2 linked regions of the Lepisosteus oculatus genome follow. The main gene of each other region encodes a partner of the protein of the gene in region 2 in a complex. Links are inferred from orthologs where the notes say so. Each region holds a gene or a part of one and is shown on either strand. Other genes may lie near its edges.

The links. Proteins that work in one complex are often made in the same cells at the same time.
Region 1: the proteins of prkaa2 (region 2) and 5'-AMP-activated protein kinase subunit beta-2-like are in contact, whole or in part, in a crystal structure (PDB 6B2E), measured with the Homo sapiens proteins. The link is inferred for Lepisosteus oculatus from reciprocal best matches to the Homo sapiens genes PRKAA2 and PRKAB2. Residues at the interface, in NP_006243.2 of Homo sapiens: Gly9, Arg10, Val11, Lys12, Ile13, Thr21, Asn48, Arg49, Val58, Gln66, Gln81, Val82, Ile83, Ser84, Thr85, Pro86, Thr87, Asp88, Phe89, Met134, Met164, Ser165, Asp166, Gly167, Glu168, Phe169, Leu189, Ala191, Glu194, Pro253; in NP_005390.1 of Homo sapiens: Val60, Ser61, Gln64, Glu67, Asp68, Ser69, Thr73, Gln74, Ala76, Pro78, Thr79, Val80, Ile81, Arg82, Ile106, Ser108, Val113, Ile115, Val155, Ser158, Asp159, Phe160, Glu161, Phe163, Asp164, Lys167, Leu168, Gln191, Met193, Tyr194.

Annotation. Positions count from the first base shown.
Region 1 is NC_090704.1:7,853,506-7,864,140, forward strand, and holds the start of 5'-AMP-activated protein kinase subunit beta-2-like, read left to right. Parts: upstream 1-6,118; 5' UTR 6,119-6,227; intron 6,228-8,639; 5' UTR 8,640-8,649; coding exon 8,650-8,814; exon of another isoform or gene 8,815-8,837; coding exon of another isoform or gene 8,838-8,843; intron 8,844-10,530; coding exon 10,531-10,635. Other genes in the region: toll-like receptor 2 type-2, read left to right, coding at 1,240-1,724, 2,133-2,216, 3,000-3,564. UniProt on the Homo sapiens protein: Non-catalytic subunit of AMP-activated protein kinase (AMPK), an energy sensor protein kinase that plays a key role in regulating cellular energy metabolism.
Region 2 is NC_090704.1:17,351,652-17,361,698, forward strand, and holds the start of prkaa2 (5'-AMP-activated protein kinase catalytic subunit alpha-2), read left to right. Parts: upstream 1-5,063; 5' UTR 5,064-5,162; coding exon 5,163-5,256; intron 5,257-8,512; coding exon 8,513-8,654; exon of another isoform or gene 8,655-8,668; intron 8,669-9,273; coding exon 9,274-9,367; intron 9,368-10,047. UniProt on the Homo sapiens protein: Catalytic subunit of AMP-activated protein kinase (AMPK), an energy sensor protein kinase that plays a key role in regulating cellular energy metabolism.

The DNA of each region.
Region 1 (10,635 bases), about 9.5 Mb from region 2:
AAATATTTTTAAATGATTTTTTTTCCTAAAAATGTCTCATTGTGCTTGATTAATTCCAGAATAAGTTAATCAGAAAATCAGAGGAAAAACACGGGATTTAATAATGTATATAATGTATCGTTCTCACATTACAGGCAATAACTTGCCATTGTCAAGTGCCACACCCTTTTGTATGAAAGCAACATTTGTCCACCTGTAAAAGGTGGAGTAAAGAAAGGAGGCCCAAATGTTCTGCAAAACTATACCAAGAGCACTGAAAAGAAAGAATGTTCTTGAGCTGTACCTTACAAAACAAAAAAAAGCAAAGGAAAAGATCGAAAGAGCATTTTGAGCGAGAAAAACACCCCAGCGTTACTCTCTTCACACAAATGAATCTTACAGTATATTTTAATTTACAATCGTGGAACTTGTTTTTTTTACAATCTTTTTAAAAGTAACTCCCGTCTTTTAGAGCGGCTGATTTTCACCCTGACACATTTCTCCAAAACAGAAGACGCAAGGTAAGTTAATAAGGGCAGAGCCGTGGAGATGATAATACATTTAATAAAAGTTAAGAAACATCTAAATTTGTGTGGTTATTAATGGAGATAACCTGTTAACCAAAGGCAAACAAAAAAAACAGGTGGTGCGGGTATGTTTCAGTTTCAAGTTATTTCTTTTAATATATATTTTTAAAATTATTTTTATTGACAGACAATATAGGAGTTGTACACTCCAAATATCTTGAGAATCGGAGGAAATAAGTGATTTCCTGTTGTTAGAATTATACATTCAGTTTCTTTTTTTTGTTTGTTATAACATTTCTTGTTTATGCAATAAAAAGTGGAAAGAAAAACAGTATTAAGTTATTTTGGTGTATAAAATCAGATTAAAAATAAACACTGGTTATAACATAGTGCTCATATATGGTCATTTGCAGATAAAATTCAGTGAGATTTAATTTGCTTTGTTATCTGTTTTTTTATGTTTCTGTTTATAAATACAAATTGAGTTGCTTTCAAATTTATATTTAGTCAAATTAATAACTAAATGGGAGCTAAAATTAAAATTAATTATTCTCTAATGTCTGTCTAATGTACTAAAGCATTTGTACTAAAACATCCCTGTACATTTTTTCCATAGCTAGAAGCCACTGAACAGAAAGACAAATTGGAAATTGGAAACATGTCCATATACCGCGTCTTGTGGAAGCAGAACAAAATAGTTTCTGTACTATATTTTATTCTTTGTGCATTTTGTATGACAGTGGACGGAGGTCTTGTGGTCAACTGTTCTGCCCAGAACTACCCAAACACTTCCTGCCTAATTCCTCCAACCACAGCTACCCTGGACCTGTCTCACAACAACATTGAGAAAATAGAGGAGCAGGACTTCACCGAAGTCAAAGGACTGAGGAAGCTCTACCTGCAATTCAATCAAATTAGCTTTATAGATCACAGGGCCTTTGAAGACAACCCAGAGCTTGAGTACTTGGACATTTCAAACAACTATCTTCTTGAAGGTTCTGTCCTTCCCTTTAAAAACCTGGTTGCATTGAACTACCTGGACATCTCCAACAACATTGGTGATAAAATCCAGCTGGGACCACAGGTTAGCCTTCTGAAACACCTCCAGGTTTTGAAGCTTGGTAATCCTCAAATCATCTCTTTAGGAAAGAACATCTTTCAAGGATTGGGCAGTCTCCATCTCAAGGAATTCCACCTGATCACTGGAGATCTCGATGAGTATGAGCACTCTTTGAAAATCCTATATGGTCTGGAAAAACTCACTCTGGAGGTGAATATTTGGCATGATTTGGAACTGCTTCAGCACATGTTTCAAGACATCAAAAACGCAACCAGGACGTTACAACTAAAGAATGCTGATCTGGTTAGGGGTGGGACATTTGTATCTTTATTTTCCACATTTGATGATTCAGAATTGAGATCCATTGCTTTCCAGAATATTTCTATGAACGATGAATTTGTTACATCTTTGTTCAACACTGTGGGCAAAGCAAACCTTGAAGAGATCTCCTTTGATTTGATTCATTTTGATGCTATAGGACACTGGAAAGTTGATATTACACATTTTCAGGATATACACTTAAGAAGGTTATTTATTAGACATATATATAATCCGAACTTCTACAGGTTTACTTCCCTGGAGTTCATGGTGGAGTTTTTCAAACCCCTTATCGAGGTATCAATTGTGAATGCTTCTGTTTTTTACATTCCGTGCGCAATAGCTGATGTTATGCAATCACTGGAATTTTTAGAGGTGTCCTATAATTTGCTCCATGAATATACCTTGTTTCCAAATTGTCATAGACCATTACCTGGTTTGCGTTCATTGGTGGTTGACAGAAATAATTTTGGAGACTTGAAGAAACTTGCTGCAATGACCTCTCATATGGAACAGCTGGTGAATGTGTCTGCAGCTTTTAACACATTAGACTTCAGTTCCAAAGAACCATGCCCTTGGACTCCAACCATTAAATTTTTGAACTTGAGGGGTAACCACCTCTCCAGTAATGTATTTATGTGCTTGCCAAATTCAATAGAAATCTTGGATCTGAGCCTCAACAACATCACTATAATAGCCAATCTTGAAAAGATGCAGTATTTAACCCAACTCTACCTTTCTGGCAATAATATACTTTCAATAGACCACCTACCTCCCTTGACTTATCTGACAATATTGCATGTTGATAAAAACAAAATAAATGCAGTTGACATTGCAACTCTGAAAGCCTTAAACCTCACTGAGTTAAAACTTAGTTACAACCCCTTTGATTGTTATTGTAACATAAATAATCTCTGCGAGTATTTTGTTGGGTCATTAACCAGAATAGAGGAGTGGCCAGAAGGATACAAATGTGAGATTCCCCTGTCTTTAAGAGGCTCAGAAATCTGCCTTCAGGACCTTTCCTTTGTGCAGTGTAATCCTGGCATGCTTGCAGGCGTAGTTGTGGCCTGTGTAGCTGTTCTTGTGGCTTTGTGTATTTGTATTTGCATAAGATATAATGGACCATGGTACATAAAAACTATCTGGATATGGATCAGGGCTAAAAAAGCTCCAGATATTGACCTTGGGGAAAGAAACTTAGAATATCATGCTTTTCTATCCTATAGTGAACAGGACTCTACATGGGTGATGAACAATCTTCTGAAACAGCTGGAATCAGACGATCCACCCTACCGTATTTGTATCCATGAACGTGACTTCACACCTGGAAAGGCTATAATTGCCAATATCATTGACTGCATCTCCAAAAGTTACAAGACGGTTTTTGTGCTGTCTAAGAACTTTGTGCAGAGCGAGTGGTGCCACTACGAGTTCTTCCTGGCTCAGCACCGGGTGTTTGAAGAGAGGAGGGACTCTCTGATCCTCCTGCTCCTCGAGCCCATTCCGGCCAATTCCATTCCCGACCGTTTCTGCAAGCTGCGCAAAATGATGAACAAGAGCACTTACCTGGAGTGGCCTCCGGATGAAGCCTGCCAGTCCATGTTCTGGAAGCGACTGAAGGCTGTTCTGAATCTTGAGGTCAAAGCACCCAGTCTTCAAGGAAACCCAGGAAAGTGACTCCCCTGTCGTTTAATGACTTTTCCATATTGCCAGAACCTTCGTGCTTCAAGTGCCGTTCTCACTCAAGTTTGGTTCAGTGTGCTGCCACCTGCTAACTACCTGCTGAAAGTCTAAGCCTCCCCCCTGACTCACCCAGCATCTTCACAGTCCCCCGGACTCTCTTGTCGCAGTGGGAACTATGTCTGGGGGCCACAGCTCGCACCCGTGCTGTATAACACGCTGAGGCAGAACAGGCTGGACACCCAACGTTTTTTGACACTGGACTGTAAAAAGGCACTGTCCTTCTGTTAAACTGAGGTCCTGACTCTCTGTGGTCATTAAAAATCCCAGGGAATTTCTCGAAAAGAGTGGGGGTGTTCTCCTCAGTGTCCTGGCCAAATTTCCCCCTGGCCTTTACCAATCATGACCTCCTAATAATCCCCATCTCTGAACAGTCTGCTGTCCTTCCCACTGATAGCTAATGTGTGGGATGTACTGGTGCACTTTGTATTATTATTATTATTATTATTATTATTATTATTATTATTATTAGTAGTAGTAGTAGTAGTAGTAGTAGTAGTAGTAGTATTGAGCTATGTGTCAGCTTCACTTTTCTCTATACTCCAAGCATAGAATTATACTTTTAACTGACCCTCTACCACCATTTCTTAATAACTTCACACATTCTGTTGTTATATTGGCAATATTTTGAGAGTGCCAATTTGAAATTTTTCAATAAATCCAGACTTCTCCTCATCCAGGTGGGGGCTACACATTGGTGGTGGAGGGGAGTCCCCACTACATGTACAGTACAGTGCTTTGAGTTACTTATCCAGAAAAGCGCTATATATGTGTAAGCATATTATAACTGAAGCATGCCACATATTACTCATCATTTCAGGCCTATTATTAGCTATTTTAGCAGAGGAGACCAGTCATAGATGATGTTTGATAGTGTGTTCTTTTATTAGACGACACAAGGTTCTACTGGGTATAGGAATCAACCCCATTTATTTTAAAGATCACAGCTTTTTGGGAAAAAAATCGTTTTTTAAAATCCATAATATTAAGGATGATATCACAGGATCAAATACTAGATATAAATCTCCCTCTGATCTGATTTTAGATTTTAGATTATAATTACTGTACATTGTCCTTTCAATACTATATGGGTAAGCCAAGTATGGTTGCTTGCATGATGCACAATATAAATGTGTGATGTTACTGCTTGATTTAGTTTGCAGTTATGAAATTCAAAGTAATTCAGATGCATTATACCCTTGAATTGTATTGCTCATATACTGTAATGTCATGCTCAAGAAAAGGGGTTGTCAGAGTGAAAATGGGAGTGTCTCTGAGAGAGGAGGGTATAGTTAATATTTTATTTTCCCAGGACAACCCAGAGCTTGAATCTGATAATTAAATCAGTATTCTCTTGTCACTATCACAAAATGATACTTTTCAGAAAGCCTGGAATAAACGGAATCCTAGCAGCATACTATAACACAAGTCTGTGCTTGCTCCTAATGTTTTACTTGCTTCTAACCTTCAAAATGTTGTGAAAGAGTTGTTTTTCATCCTGTTAACATTGCTGACTCTCTGCTCAGTGGCAGAGAGAGAGGGAGTTGTGGAGAAAAGCTAATGCATATGTCTATCTTTTCCAGGCTTGATTATTGTATTATATTCAGTGTTTGCTGGTGTTGCTGCCAACAGGATATGTTCAGATCTCAGCTAATCTGATCTTAACTAAAACTAAAATCCACGAGCATCTATCTTTTTTTTTAGCTTTCTTGCATTGGCTCTTGCGGAATTCAGAATGAAAAAAATACAGCTGGTCACTTGAGTGATTTAGCTTCTGTCTACATCAATGAACTGTTCACTCCCAACACAGCTATGTATTGCTCACACCCTCCTCCAAAAACAATGCTTTCAACACCTGAGACCTTGCTGTCTGTTCTGTTGCTCCAAGGCTGTGAAATGATCGCCCAGCTCATGTCTTATCTTGCACGTCAGCACTTTCAAATCCTGTTTCAAAGTTATTTTTATCTCTGTTTTAATTCTGTTGAATGTACAGAGTATATGCTTTAAGGTGTGATTGTTTTGTTCCAAAACGCTTTGTTAATATGTATCATGAAAAGTACTATTGAAAGTAAACATCATGAATGCAATTATTTTAAACTGGTGGGTTTGTGTATTATGGTAATCAAAGCTTAAAGTGATGATTGGGCCAATAATGTTTTCAGAAAGTCTCACCTTTGTCTCCTGTTTATTTCCATATTAATCTGATAATATTTTTATCAAAAATGCAAAATCTGTATTGGGTGTCAATCGTTTTATTCAGTTATTGCTTGTTTTAGCATGCTTTATAAAGTACGATTATAAACTAGTATACTTATTTATTACTAATTTAAAAATACGACAGATTGTTACAAACAAAAATAACATCTGACTTGTTTACATTTTTAAAAGCCAAGAGCGACAGTTCAGTACTTTCATTTTAATCTGAAGGCCTTCGCGTTTGGCAAATGCAGTTTTAGGATTACAGATTGACCCTCCGCAGATCCCGTAGAAGCCGATATCATCAAGGTTGGGGCAGGGGGAGCTGTTGACATTTGTAATGTAGGAAGGGCGATCGGTTCAGTGGCGCTCCAGAAGCAATAGACATTAAACGCCGTTAACAGGTAATTTGCGTTATTCCGCGCTTCTTCTTTGTGCCTCAAACAGTATATGTGAAATTAAGATCACCCCAGTTTCTGTTCTAGAACTTTAAAGTGTTTGCATTTAAGATATTGTTATTTAGCGGTGTCTGGTAAAGTAGTTTTATTGATCATTTACTGGGTGTCGGAGCTTCCGAGTGTTGTGGTTGAAGCAAACTTATTGGAAATTTGTTGTTTCTGTTACTGTATCGTTTGATAAGACTACCGCTGTCCTGCTTGGGCAACAAGGTCGTTTTAAAAACGCCACAATGGTATTTAACTTGATGGTACAACTGCTGTTGCTAAACGTTTATATTTTTGGGAACAGGGTGAAGAGCTCAGGTGTACCATTACAAGAGGCAGGCGCTACAGTTTTAATCAGTTTTTGGAAGCACACCATAAACACGGAAATAAAATCGCACTTACACTTTTGTTTTTCTGACGTATAATCTGGTGTTCTGAATAATGTTAGCTGTTTGTGTTTTTATTTAAGCAATCATTTGACCCTAAAGAAATCATTATCATGACAAACATTACGGGCTCGTATTCTAATGCATGCCGATAGTAAGCTAAGATCAGTTTCGTAGTAGTGTCAATTTCTTGTCATTTTTACGTACCTGTGCTTAGAGGTTCCACAAATTGCCTCTCACAGTTGAGTGGTCATCACTGAAATGATATGCACAATAATACAGTCTACAACAGGACTGTCTTGGAGGCCGTTTATCTCCACGTCCCTTGAATTGAGAGAAATGACTAACTTTGCCCAACTTTGTTAATAACGACCTGTTTTTGAACCACTGAGAGCTGATTGGGAATGAAGCATTGCAGACAGAAGCCAGGACCGGGATTAACAACCCTGGTGTACAGGCAGAGGTCAGCTAGTACCGTGTGTGTATTTTTAGCTGTCTTTACAAAGTAAAGAGTCATTGGGTGCTACCTGTTTTGTTAGTAGTTGTAGTTCATAAAGACAGCTGTAGTACATGCACAAAGAATCCATTGTGTTTTTAACTTTTACAAAGTTAAAGACTTTGTAACAGTTATAGACTTTGGCACCTTTACATTTGGGCGGTATGAGAGGAAACTCTTTCGAACGACTTCATTGTCTGTTCTGATTAATATTGTGCTTTAAAGGGGAACGAGATATTCCGTTCATTTGTAGGAGTACATCTTACATGACTGCTGTGTGGGTTTTTTTCTCTTTATTCCACTCATTATTGTTGGATTAGAAAATTCCTCTGATGCTATAATTAAGCAAAATCAGAACAAGCCCAATACTGCCTCCGATTCTCTCAGAATAAGAACCTGACGTCATTGTAAACATGCCTTTGGTTCCTTTAGTGAAAACAATTATTTTGAAATGAAATATGCTATTGTCTTTTGATTGTCATTGTTATTGTATATTTTAATGTTCATGAGAAAAATATCCCGTGAGGCACAGGTATGTGGAGTCTGCTTCTGCTTTCATAATTCTGACAAATGTATACACACTGCTGTACAAGGGACTTGGACATCTTAATGATAAGGATTAGGAATTTCAAATATAAGCTTCTTATAAGCACAAACTGTTTGCTCACTGCTTTCATTAAACCTTCGTTAAATCGTTAATGTAATGTGTTTCTTGTTTTTACCATTATTTTTTCCATCCTCCGTATTAATGTAATAGGATGGTCTACTTTGAAAAACAGATCTGTCAGGATTAACATCTAAAACAAAGTGGCAAAAATATCAGGTCTCCATGGACCTGCCAGCAGCTGTATCGCTCTGCAACCCACAACTGTCATTGAAGCTAAGCAGTTTAGTCTGGCCAGTACCTGGATTGGAGACCTCTTGGGAAAGCTAAGGTTGCTGCTGGAAGAGGTATTAGTGGAACCAGTAGGGGGTACTCACCCTGTGGTCTATGTGAGTCCTAATGCCCCAGTACAGTGATGGGGACTCTATACTGTAAAAAAGGCATTGTTCTGCAGATGACATGAAAAACCAAGGTCCTGACTCTCCATGGGCATTACAAATCCCTTGAAAAGAGTAGCAGTATTTACCCAGGTGTACTGGCCAAATTTCCCCCTGGCCTTTGCCAATCATGGCCTCCTAATCATCCCCATCTATCAGTTGGGTTCATCATGCTCTCCTCCCCACTGAGAGCTGGTGTGTGGTCAGCGTACTGGTGCACTTTGGCAGCCTTCACATCATTCAGGTGGTGGTGGTGGAGGGGAGTCCACATTTCTTGTCAAGTGCTTTGAGTGGAGTGTCCAGAAAAAGCACAGTAGAAGTGTGAGCACTATTATTATAATTGCTTCTGCTTGATGAAATTGATGTATTGTGTGGGACAATGGAAGATGGATAAGGTCTGTATTTTAATGTAGCAAGATTTCTTAAGACTTTTTGAATGTTGTTGGAAAGGTGAACTAGTATGGGGAATACGTCCAGTGACCGGGTCTTGGGAGATCGCCATGGGGCAAAATCCCACCGTCCAGATGGAGTTACCAGTAGCCAGAAAGAGCAGGAACCAAGCAAAATCATGGTGGACAGCACCGACGACCCCAACATCTTCAACACTCACACTCTGGAGTCAAAGGTATTTAACACAAGCATGGGCTGATGGTGGTAAGTATGCATTCTGCTTGGACTGTCTCTTTGCACAGCATTGAACTTGCTCAATAAAGCATCCGTTGACAAGGCTGTGCTGTGCTGTTTATTACTGCTGTGTATCAACCACTTAAATCCAAGTGTTCATGGAGATTCAGAATGAAAGCCACAGCTGACCAAGCAGTGATAGTTGTATGTTACAGTCTCATCCATGTTATCACAAAGTCATTCAACATTGTTGAACCAAATGAAAAAACACCGCATGCTTGAACAGCCAAGCAATGATTTAATCTCTGTCCTCAGTAATATGACTAAATACTTTATTATCCTATATACTGTATTTTGGTAACCATGTAGAGGTTGAAGGGCAGCACAGTAGCGCATTGGTTAGTTTTGCTGCCCCAAAGCAAGAGGTCCTGGGTTCAATTCCGGGCTTGGGATCCATCTGTGTTCATATTGTTTGTATGTTCTTCTTGTGTTTGTGTGGGTTTCCTCTGGTTTATAAACTGTACCGGTGGGTTAATTGACTTTTGGTGTGTGTTTGTGTGCATGTGTTGGTGTCTGTGTGTCCGCCCTGTGATGGACAGGCGCACCATCCAGGGTGTTGACCTAGGTGTTACCTCCCTGTGGCCTGATCTTGTCAAACCTCAGAAGCTAAGCATAGCCAGCACTAGTCAGCAGTGTGGTGGGAAACCTCAGAGGGTAAGCTGGTTGCTTCTGTGGGTGGTGGTTTTGAACCAGGAGGAGGTACATTTCCCTCTGTACTAGAATCTCACATTCAGTACCTCAATATGGTTGACAGTTGGACTGCTTTGTGGAGGAGATCCCATCGAATACAATGTTGGGACCTCTTCTTAGTTACTTGGCCATTAATGATCCCATAGGAATATTTGTAAAAGTAGTGGTGCTTACCCTTGTATCCTGGCACAAATTCTGCTCAGAGGTTTCACAATCTGGCCTACTTCTTAATTCAATTGCTGAAGTAATTTCTTGCTTCTCTGTCTGACCTAATGTGGAGTGTGGCTGATGGCAACATGTCACCAAGCTGGGTACTGCGCTTGGGTAATAGATAAAGTGGGTCTCCTATATAAGTGCTTTGGGATGCTTTGTGTTAAAAAGGGCCAGATAAATATGCTGTATGTATTATTAATGAAAACATGTTTAACAAAAAATGTTTGCCCTTGCATGCTGTATTTATTGTCTGTTTTGTGTTAAGTTTGTTATGAATGTATAAAGTCATTGTTACATAAAATGTAACCTATTTTTAACACGATATTATACTGCCTGTAGCGCTGTTAAGGAGTTGTAAATTGGTCAGAGATATTCACTGCCTGCATAACGTAAATATTTTGAAAATATCACCGTTTATGCAGCTGGAGTGATGACTGGGCTGCTTTGTATATATTTCACTGACCACAGTAACCTTTTATGTAACACATACCCTGTTTGTCTTCTTTAATTGTTCTATTCCCCGTTCGCTTTATAAACCTTTTTTTAGTCCTTTTACACTGTGATTTTCGGCAAACAGGGCCCAGTAATGTTGTAGTGCCTGTATAGCACGTATAGCGGTGAAACACATGAAGAGTTCATGGTTGAGGTCTGCTTATACCACGCAGTGCCACAGGTGGGATGGAAATATCTCTGCTTAGAGTACTTTGGATGGCAGCTCACGGTTTTATTTATTCAGTTTATTTAAATGTTTCAGCCTTCTGGAGAAAAGGAGTTTATGCACTTCACGCCTGACCTCGAAGAGCACATGAAGCTGGGATCACAAGCACGACCCACTGTGATCCGCTGGGCAGGGGGTGGA
Region 2 (10,047 bases):
AGCAGTCTCAGCACTAAAGAAACTTACAGGAATACCAGAGACCTTTGCAGTATGTACAAGAAAAATCAGAGACACTGCTACAATCACTCTGATCGCAGCAACCACAGTAAGGGCAGAAGGAGATGCTAATTCCATGCTAAGGTATGGAAAGAAAGGAGCAACTCAGCAGCCCAGTAGAGGGGTGAGCCAGCTTTTTGCATACGATTTCTGCTGTGTCTAATAGAATTCACAACTCTGAGCAAAACATGGAAGTAAAGCAGTGATAAAGCAAAAATAGCTCAACCATGCAGAAAAAGAAGGTCTTAAGATCCAATTGGATAACTTTGTATGTGACTTGGCATTTTCCCATGAGGTAATAGTTACATTCTGTCTGATTGAAAACCTTATTTTTCAGAACTATGGAACCAGCTCCCCAGCCTTGTTGTCAAAGCTGGTACCTAAGCTTCTTTCAATAAACAACTGGAAGGGAACCTTGTGTCACTTATCTTTTAAAAAACGAAACAAGGTCAATGGGCCCCTGTCATTTGCAAACCTTATGTAAACTTCAATAGAATAAAGGATATGTGCTGCCTGTCACATACTGTAGGAATAATTTTAGACAGAGGAACTTCTTTTTCTAAGAAGTGTTATGTTCTTTACTCTCTTATTCACTGGAACACTGTTACTGACATAAATAGCTTAATACAATCAAAAAGTACTTACTTAAGAAAGTAAATACTGCTTCAGCACATGTTTTTCTATGCATTTAAATAGTTTATCAGAATAACACAGTGCTGTACTGTGTTAAGTTTGGCACTTTAGTTTATTTAGCAATGTGGGCTCCAATTTACAAGTAGGACAAAGGTGCCATCTAATGTCAACAATAAGTTTTACATCCGACACATGCAAGTAATCTTTGATATATTACTTCTTGCATTGCATCAATGAAAACATCAAAATTCAACTAAAATTAAGTTTAAGTTAACAGGTATGGAAATTAAGTTTAAAAAAAAGATCATGAAAAGAAAAAACAGACTTCTAAGAAATTAACCACACTCATTTAAGAGGAATTTGTTGTGGATTATCTTTCTTTTCCAATAAGCTGTTTCACAAGAGGAAAAGAATGTAAGATGGTAAGCACTCAGGTGAATTATTCAGCAAAACATCTTTTCTAATGATATATTTAAACAGATTTATCCATTTTTGTTTGTTGTAAAGTAATCATTGCAAGTAAAGTAAAATAAATGCTACAAATGCTTTGTGATTAAATGGGGACAATAACATTTGCAATAAGCAAACATAAAAATCAATACCTGGATAGTGGCTAATAAGAACAGTCCATTTAGCCCATTTACCTTGTTCGGTAGTAGCTATTTCACCTGCGGATCACCTACTAAAAATACATTTGTACAAATACTTAACATTATCAATGTCAGGGTAATGGTGTATTTTTAGAAAGTTTTAAAAATACAAGCATAAAATAACCTTGGTTGGACAATAAACTATGAATTTTCTTACTTGTTTGTACCTTCCAACTAATCAATTAACATATTAATTTAATTTCTGTGCAATGTGGTGAATACTTTACTAGATATTAAAGGTGAATCAATTTAGACCAGGTCATCGTAGCATTTTACAAGATGTCTGTCTATGGATAACTTTAACTGTACTTGGACCAAATTGTACTGAATTTACTATAATATATGTACTTGAACACATGGACAACAGCATCAACATTACTAACAAAAATGAATAATGATAATGATAGAAGTACAGTTACCAGAAATTTACAAACAATGCTGCACAGCAGTATACAGTACTTCTGACAAGACTCAAATGAAGTCTTCAATCTAGCTGGTGGACAGGACCTTCTCCTGCTTCTTCAAGTGGCAAGGTGGCTGTAAAATTTCAGTTAAGGTCACATCTCTCTGCCTCTCAGAGTAAACAGTACCTCAGATATTACACAGAGCTGACCTGCTCACAGCCTAAGTTAATTTTTAGTTTCATTTGGAAAGTTTTAATTAAAATGCACAATTTAATAATTTTTATATTGTGCCTTTCCTGTTAGGACATCACAAAACAATTTACAATAGAGGTAACAAATCAGAAGAGCACATTAGTACAAATCTTGTCCTTTAACTAATTTAATCAAATTAATAATAAACTGATTGTTCTATAAAAAATGGTGTGAAAATAGCTCTGCATCTTTGTGTCCTCTGTGATAGACTGATGTTCCATCCAGGGTATATCTGTGACCCTAAACTGGATAAGTGGATGTTGAAAGTGATTATGATTTTTTGCTAAACAACACTGAGAATCAATTCAATCTTCAACAGACAAACAAGAACCTATTGTTGACTTCTGTTGTGTTATCTTAGTATTTTGGAAGCAGTTGGGCTGTTGGACATTTTACCTTCTACTGGTGGATGCTGCACATTGGTGGTGGTGGAGGGGAGTCCCCATTACCTGTAAAGCGCTTTGAGTGGAGTGTCCAGAAAAGCGCTATATAAGTGTAACCAATTATTATTATTATTATTATTATTAATCCTAAATGAATTTGAATGGCGAATTGTGCTTTTCCAAGTGTCAGCTCACAGTTACCATTCTTGCACATGCAGAGGGGAAGAAATGTCAGCTGACCTGCTCAGCTTCGAGCCACTTGTGTTTTAATGTCACAGGCACCACAGTTCAGGAGGTTCGGTGCCAATTAGAGAGAGGATCATCCCTCGCTGACAGCACTGCATTCCTGCACTCAAGCTACAGGAGGTGCTGTTCCACCAAGAGCCGAGAACCCCGACTGACTAATCCCACACTTCCCTCAGAGTTATTCGGGCTGTGAAATCCCTTGTGGACAAGTGAAAACACTCAGTCTACAGCTTAAGTGCCTTTCTGGTTGAGCTGCACAGAGGGACATAGCTAAGATAATATTCAGAAGTATGTGAAGCACTGCAAATGCCATACTACTTTGTGTATAAACATGTCTCCAGTGTGATTTATTAGCATGACATAGCTGAAGATGAGCAGTACCTTTGTTTTCCTTACCGTCAATGCTCTTAAAGTCCAACAGGTAACTGCGATTGTCCACCTGATAAAGCTGAAGGCTTTAATTTCCTGTTACAGGAACTCTCAGGTGATAAGCATTCACAACCTGCAATTCACATTAAAGATTGACTCAATAGATGCCAAAAGAATAAGATTGCAAACACAGTACCAATACATTAAATGAGTAAAATGGAAGTGCATAAGTATGTAGTGTGTAGGTACGGTGCCGTATTTGCCCCCTTATTGATTTCCTCTATTATTGCACATTTTTGACACTGAAGTTATCCTACACCAACTGGCACTGTGTGAAAAAGTACTTGCCCCCTTAGTTAAATCAACCCAATTAAAATGATAATTTAGAGTCAGCTGATTGAATACAGCCAGGCTTGATTACAGCCAGCCCTGCTCAATATAAACCTCACTTATTTTGACCCTTACTAACAGAGTCAAGTTGCCAGCACAAAGATTCAACAAGCACCTTATGCCACGACCACAGGAAATTCCTGAAGAAATCAGAAAAAAGTTGTTGATATCTATCAGTGTGGAAAGGGTTACAAAGTCTCTGGGACTCACAGTGAGAGCCGTAAACTCCAAATGGAGAACACTTGGAACAGTTGTGAATCTTCTTAGGAGTGGCTAGCCTGCCAAAATTTCTCCAAAGGCGCAGTGTAAAATCATTCAGGAAATCACAAAGGATCCTAAAAAAACATTCAAAGAACTGCTGGCTTCTCTTGCCTCAGCTAAGGTCAGTTTTCATCACTCCACAATTAGAAAGAGACTGGGCAAAAATGGGCTTCATGGGAAAGCAGCAAGGCAGAAACCACTGCTAACCAAGAAGAACATAAATGCTTGTCTCTCATTTGCCAAGAAGCACCTGGATGATCCCCAAGCCTTTTGGGAGAGTGTTCTATGGACAGATAAGTCAAAAGTGGAACTTTTTGGATGACATGGGTCCCATTATGTCTGGCGTAAAGCAAACACAATATTCCACAGTAAGAACGTCATACCAACAGTCAAACATGGTGTCGGTAGTGTGATGGAGTGGGGATGCCTTGCTGCCTCAGGACCTGGATTACTTGCCATAATTGAAGGAACCGTGAATTCTGCTTTGTATTAGAAAATTCTTAAGGAGAATGTCCAGTCATCTGTCCGTAAGCTGAAGCTGAAATGTAGTTGGGTCATGCAGCAAGACAATGATCCAAAAAGAATGGCTGAAAAGAAGCAAAATTAAGTGTAAGCAATTATTATTATTATTATTATTATTATTATTATTATTATTATTATTATTATTATTATTACTGGAACTATATAAGAACGACAGAAATCGTACATCTCCACCTAGTGTTCACATTTATGTAGTGTAGCATTCCGCTCCCACCTGTATTGGATTTTCCCTTTTCCCTCTCAACCTTGACCCTGACTGCATCTGTATACAGTACACATGTATCATATTATATAAATCTTCTATTTCGCCATGTATTGCTACCGGAGACTGCGGGACACCACTCTCTCTCCCCTAGTGACTAGCACACATACTGTAATCTAAAGGGCAATAAACCCCTTTTGTTTAAACTGAGTACTCTGTCTGCAGCCTCCAGAGCCGCAGGGTCGTTCGCTGCAGTATATAATAAATTTAAAATTTTCTGGCATATACAGTATTTATTTGCTATGGTACATAAGAAGAGCTACCTTTCAGTACACTAGAATACCTAGTACGTCGTCAGTTCCTAACAGCAACAACTTTAATGCTGTTATCAAAGACAACAATCAAACATTATAGTATCTCCAAAAAGACAAGAATGTGACACACTGCATACTGTAGAAATGTCCTTGAAGTGCAGCCACCGTGATTCTAGCGGGATTAGGGTTTTAGCGTGTAAAGAATTAAGAATATTTCTTTCCCAATAACAGGTAAATACACAGGCATTTCAGACACACATTTCGAATTGTGGGGAAGAGTTAATAGGCTGCCGCCATCCTCCCCCCATGTCTCTCGCCAGAAGACTGACAATCACCATAAACAGCATTGCGCTGTCTGGTGTCTGACTTCTTTCGCGTGCTTGGTGTAGTGTGCGTTGTACAGTACTCTTCGCCTCCCTCTGCACTCTGGGTAAAACTACAGAAGGATCACAAATGCAAAAATGGCTGAGAAGCAGAAACACGAAGGCAGGGTTAAAATAGGACACTACATATTAGGAGACACCCTTGGAGTCGGCACTTTCGGAAAAGTGAAGAGTTAAGTGTTTTTTTTTATTTTGTTAAGAAACTGCTACAGCTTCCGACAGACTGTAAATGTCTTTCTCCTCTGCCTTGACTGTGAATGTTAAACCATTGCAGGTGGACACTACGCAAACGGCGTAGCAGTGTCTTGACAGTGTATGGGAGCAGTCTAAGAACGGCGAACGCTTATTTCGTAAATATAACTGAAGAATGGGGAGTGTTTTAAAAAATCCCGAATTCTGTCATCAATGCAGAGAGCAGTCTTGTTAAACGCTTGTAAATATTATGGTGTGCAGTTCATGCTTAGGAAGCAGTAGTAAATCAAAAATCCTGTTTTCTGACATGCAGTAACAATAAATGCGAATGCAGTATTTTGTAAGGTATATACAATCATTGCTTTGACAGCGCAATATTGAGAAAAATCATCACACTTTGGTAATGACCATATCAAATATTATGTTAAACCGATGTAAAATGTACGCAGCATTTTATTCTTAAGGAAACCAGAGTTGATAACTGTGTTGTCGGCTTGTAATTCTGACCTTGTTTCTTTAACCTTTACGCACGCCAATCTATGAGGATATTTTAAAAATGGCTAAATTTTAACTTTAAAAATGGCATTTTAGTAAATTCGTTTAGTTGATACGAGTAAACTGCATCTGTTGCCAAACGGTTTTTTCTGGATTTTAAAATAATATGACCAAAAGAACCAAAGAATACAAGATCCACTCTGGCATGTTACTACTAGAATTAGTGCTCTCCTGGTTCAAGTTAAAATGGTAATTATTGTTTGCTAGGTCAATGTTAAGGTTCGACAGAGTGAGGGAAAGTAATTTAGGAGACTGTTGTCCGGTAATAAGGCAACCACAATAGTTTGCAGCTGCAATAATTAAAACTAAAAATGTCCATTTCTATTAAAGCTGGAAATTCGAACCATTCATGAGAGTACAAAGCACGAGCAACACTACTTTTTCATGATCAAAAGTACCAAGTGTTTTTTAAACGACAACTCATTTTTTTCATTTTCAGCGTTTCACGCTAATATGTCTGCAATATTTCTCAATGTGAATTATCAGCACTGCCTAGACAAACCAGCAAGTGCAGCCACCTGTAGGTTGGAATTTGGAATGCATCCCAGCTTGACCTTGGAAACCACTTTAAAGAGAAGCAAACAGCGTATTTCAAGAATAGTAAGATTTTTAATGGCCGAGTCTGAGGTCTGGACCGGTCAACTTTTGAAATACGGTAATTAGAGGAGTAGACTTATCTATAAAAGATTTATGTTCTAGTGTGATTACGTGCTTCTCTGATTCTGGTTTTAATGTGCTCAAATGTAGGGATTCTGCATTATCTATATTGCTGAAAATCCAAACTACAGTACATGTTAATAAAACTTGGGGATATAAGCAATTGAAATCTCATCAGTGATTTAATGGAGTTTTTAATAACTTTTGCTATACCTTTCCCAAAACTATAAACTCCAAGAAATTTTCAGGCACCCGTTACTTTATCACATACATCTTAGCCATTAGTGTATTGATCTAGTCCCCATGTGGTCACAACAGTCCACAAAACATAGAGATCCATAAGAGGCAAACTTGACATTTCTTTGCTTTTTGTTTAAGTTTTAGACTTTGCTTGGTTGTTGTTGGGGCAGGAGAAGAATTAATACAGACATATTATTTATCCTTTTTCCTATAATGGACTTGTCCTTCACTATAAGGGTAAGGTAAAAAATAAATAGCATGAGTCTTCAATATAAAAAAGTGAGATCAATTGTATGAAATGGTTACATCAGTAACTTTAAATTATTTAGGACATGTACTGTATTGCTAACCCATGGAAGATTATAGGCTGCAATCTGGATGTCCTTAACATGCTGTGTGAGTTTTCAGGACCAGGGGAAAGCAGGAATTAGATAAAAGCACAAGAAGAGAAAAAATAGCCTGGTATCTAAGATAACACTGAACCCTGGGGAGTCTATCAAGCAATTTTGTAAATCACTGTTTTCTGTTTTCTATTTGGTCTACACAGTACTTTTTTTACATTTTAGAAAGATATCATATTCTGTATTTTCTCTGTTGAGGATGCACAGCATATTTATTTGGAGGGGATGTGGATTCACAAGCAGGATGCTGGTTCTCTGAGCATGTTTAATTGCTTTTCTGAAACAGCCAGGCTGTTTTGTAGAAGATGTTTGAAGCTGAGCTAAGGGTTTGAGTGTAACAATTTTTTTACAATGTCTTTCTCCTTCTGTTTTTTGTTTTATTAAATATTGATAGTTCTCACAGAAAAGCGAGGTGTGTTGTCTTTGGCTTCTATCATGCTTCATGTCAAGAGACGGCAGGAGATCTGCTCTCAAATGAGCAATCCTGATGTTCCAGTTTTATACATTAATAGTACTTATCATAGTCTAATGAGAATATTGCATGGGACGTAATAGGCAAACCAGAGATCTCAGTAGACTCTTCTGCCTTTAATATTAACCAGGTTTGTACCTTACATTAAGTCAGTGAATTGATTTCTGTTGCCTTTTTATACTGCAACCATGATTGTTTTAAGATAGAGCAGTGAGACCAATTCAAAAACTTTATAAACCAGGCATTTTCTGATCATAATCATGTAATATTCACCACCAAAATAAATTTGCAGTAATAACTAATGTTCCACAAATATTTTCAGAATGCTAAATTAAAGACTCCAGGAAGGTAGTTTAAATTAATCTTGTAGATTTTTAACAAAAAAACATGGTAGTCTTAGTCTTGTGGTCTATAATTGCTTAATAAGGCATTGAGAAATAACATGACAAACCATACTTAATGTTCTGTAGAATGATTTACCACTTCAACTGTGCAGGTTGATGTATGGACACATTTTATAATTTCGCTTTACTTCCTAGTAGAATCGTTCTGTACAGTATATATGAATTGGAAGCTATCATGGGTTGAAAGACTAGTTTTAAGTGTATTTTCTGCTCTTAATGTGCACACCATATCCTCTTGTTATTGGCGGGAATGCATTCATAAAAAAGGAAAGTTAATACTTTTTCTGAATATTATTTTTTCTAAGCAAATGGATAATGTATTCACTTTTTAATCAGTACTTGTATATCTTTTTCACAGATGAACTGAGACCTTTGAATTTATTTTTACTGACAGTTCCATCACTTTTGCTTGTCAAGTGTACATTTTATGGGCCTGGAGTCTTGCTTACCTACTCTCTGGATTCTTTCAGTTGTTTCACTGTTGTTGCTGTTCTGTGCTTTTGCTAGTCGGGGAGCACCAGCTGACTGGGCACAAGGTCGCAGTGAAGATTCTGAATCGTCAGAAAATCCGCAGCCTGGATGTGGTGGGGAAAATAAAAAGGGAAATACAGAACCTCAAGCTTTTCCGTCACCCTCACATTATTAAACTGTGAGCAACACCAGGTGAATTAAAATCTGGGCATTTTGTCAGAGTGGAGCATGATTGCAGCCCTCAAGATACACAGTAACCACAAATCTTTAATGTCTCTTTCAGTTCATAATCCTCCCATGCTATGCTGGTGCTAGTCAAGTTCAAACAGACCTTTCCCATATTCACTGGTTGAAGGCCCTAATGTTATAATATACTGAAAAATAATTCTCAGTAAACAATGTGGACATATTTAAAATATATACAAGGTGTACCTGTGCTTGCAGAACTCCCTAAAGCCCTTAAAGCAAATTGTAGATGTTATAAATTGTGTCTAATTTTGACAACAAATTCATCATTAACATGCATGCAAGTTATAACTTAAAATCAAAGCAGACACTTTAGAGAGAAGCAAAACAAAAATAATTGCAGTAGGTATACAGTACCTTATATCTAATGACATCAAAGACAATCTAGGAGAAAAAAATATATGAAAGTGGAATGAATTTTGCCTGCAAGTCTAGAACATTAATGTTGTTCTTTTGTTGAAAGCTCCTTTGGATTTTGAGACTGTCACAGACAGTGCTGGGTGATATTTTGGAACCTTGATTGGTAATTGGAGTTCTTTTTTTTTTTTTAGATACCAGGTCATCAGTACACCCACGGACTTCTTCATGGTTATGGAGTACGTGTCTGGAGGTGAACTGTTTGACTACATCTGTAAGCATGGGAGGGTAAGAACTTGGTGTTACCCTTTGTGTGCTATGCAGGAGGGTGGGAATCTCTAGGCACCTCACGATTCGATTCGATTTCGATTTAGGGTTCGATAATGCGAATCGATTCTCGATGCATCTCGATTTTTTTTCTATTCATCATTAATTTTTTTGCGTGCTTGCTGAAAGGCCAAATTCAGTGTGTGAGCATAACATCTCAGGTGTAGGAATTTAGCCAGCTGTGCAGCAACAGCCATGTTAGAGGCGTTGTCATTCACCAAAATGAAATCTTTTGTCACAGATTATTGCCACCCTATTTGCTTTCTTCGGTGATTCCAAAACTTGAGTTTTGGTGTCGTTGTAGAGCATTGGTATTGCTGTTTCACTAAAGTGACGCAGAGACGGTATGTTATACCTTGGCTCCAGTGTTTGCAACACTTTGCAAAGCCCTGGTGTTCAACAAGGGAGTAGGGGGCGTACATTACGATAAAACTTGCTAAAGACCTGGTATTTTGCTTCTCCCTTTCCCAACTATGTGGAAGCTTTGACACTTGCTTGAGGGTTCTCTGTTCGGTAGCAACAAAAACAGGCAATTTTTCCTCCAACTCTGGATAGAAACGTGAAATGTGATTTCGCATGTTCGTTGTATTCCCAAAATAACAAAATATTTTATCTTGGTATGACACAGCTTACACACTGTA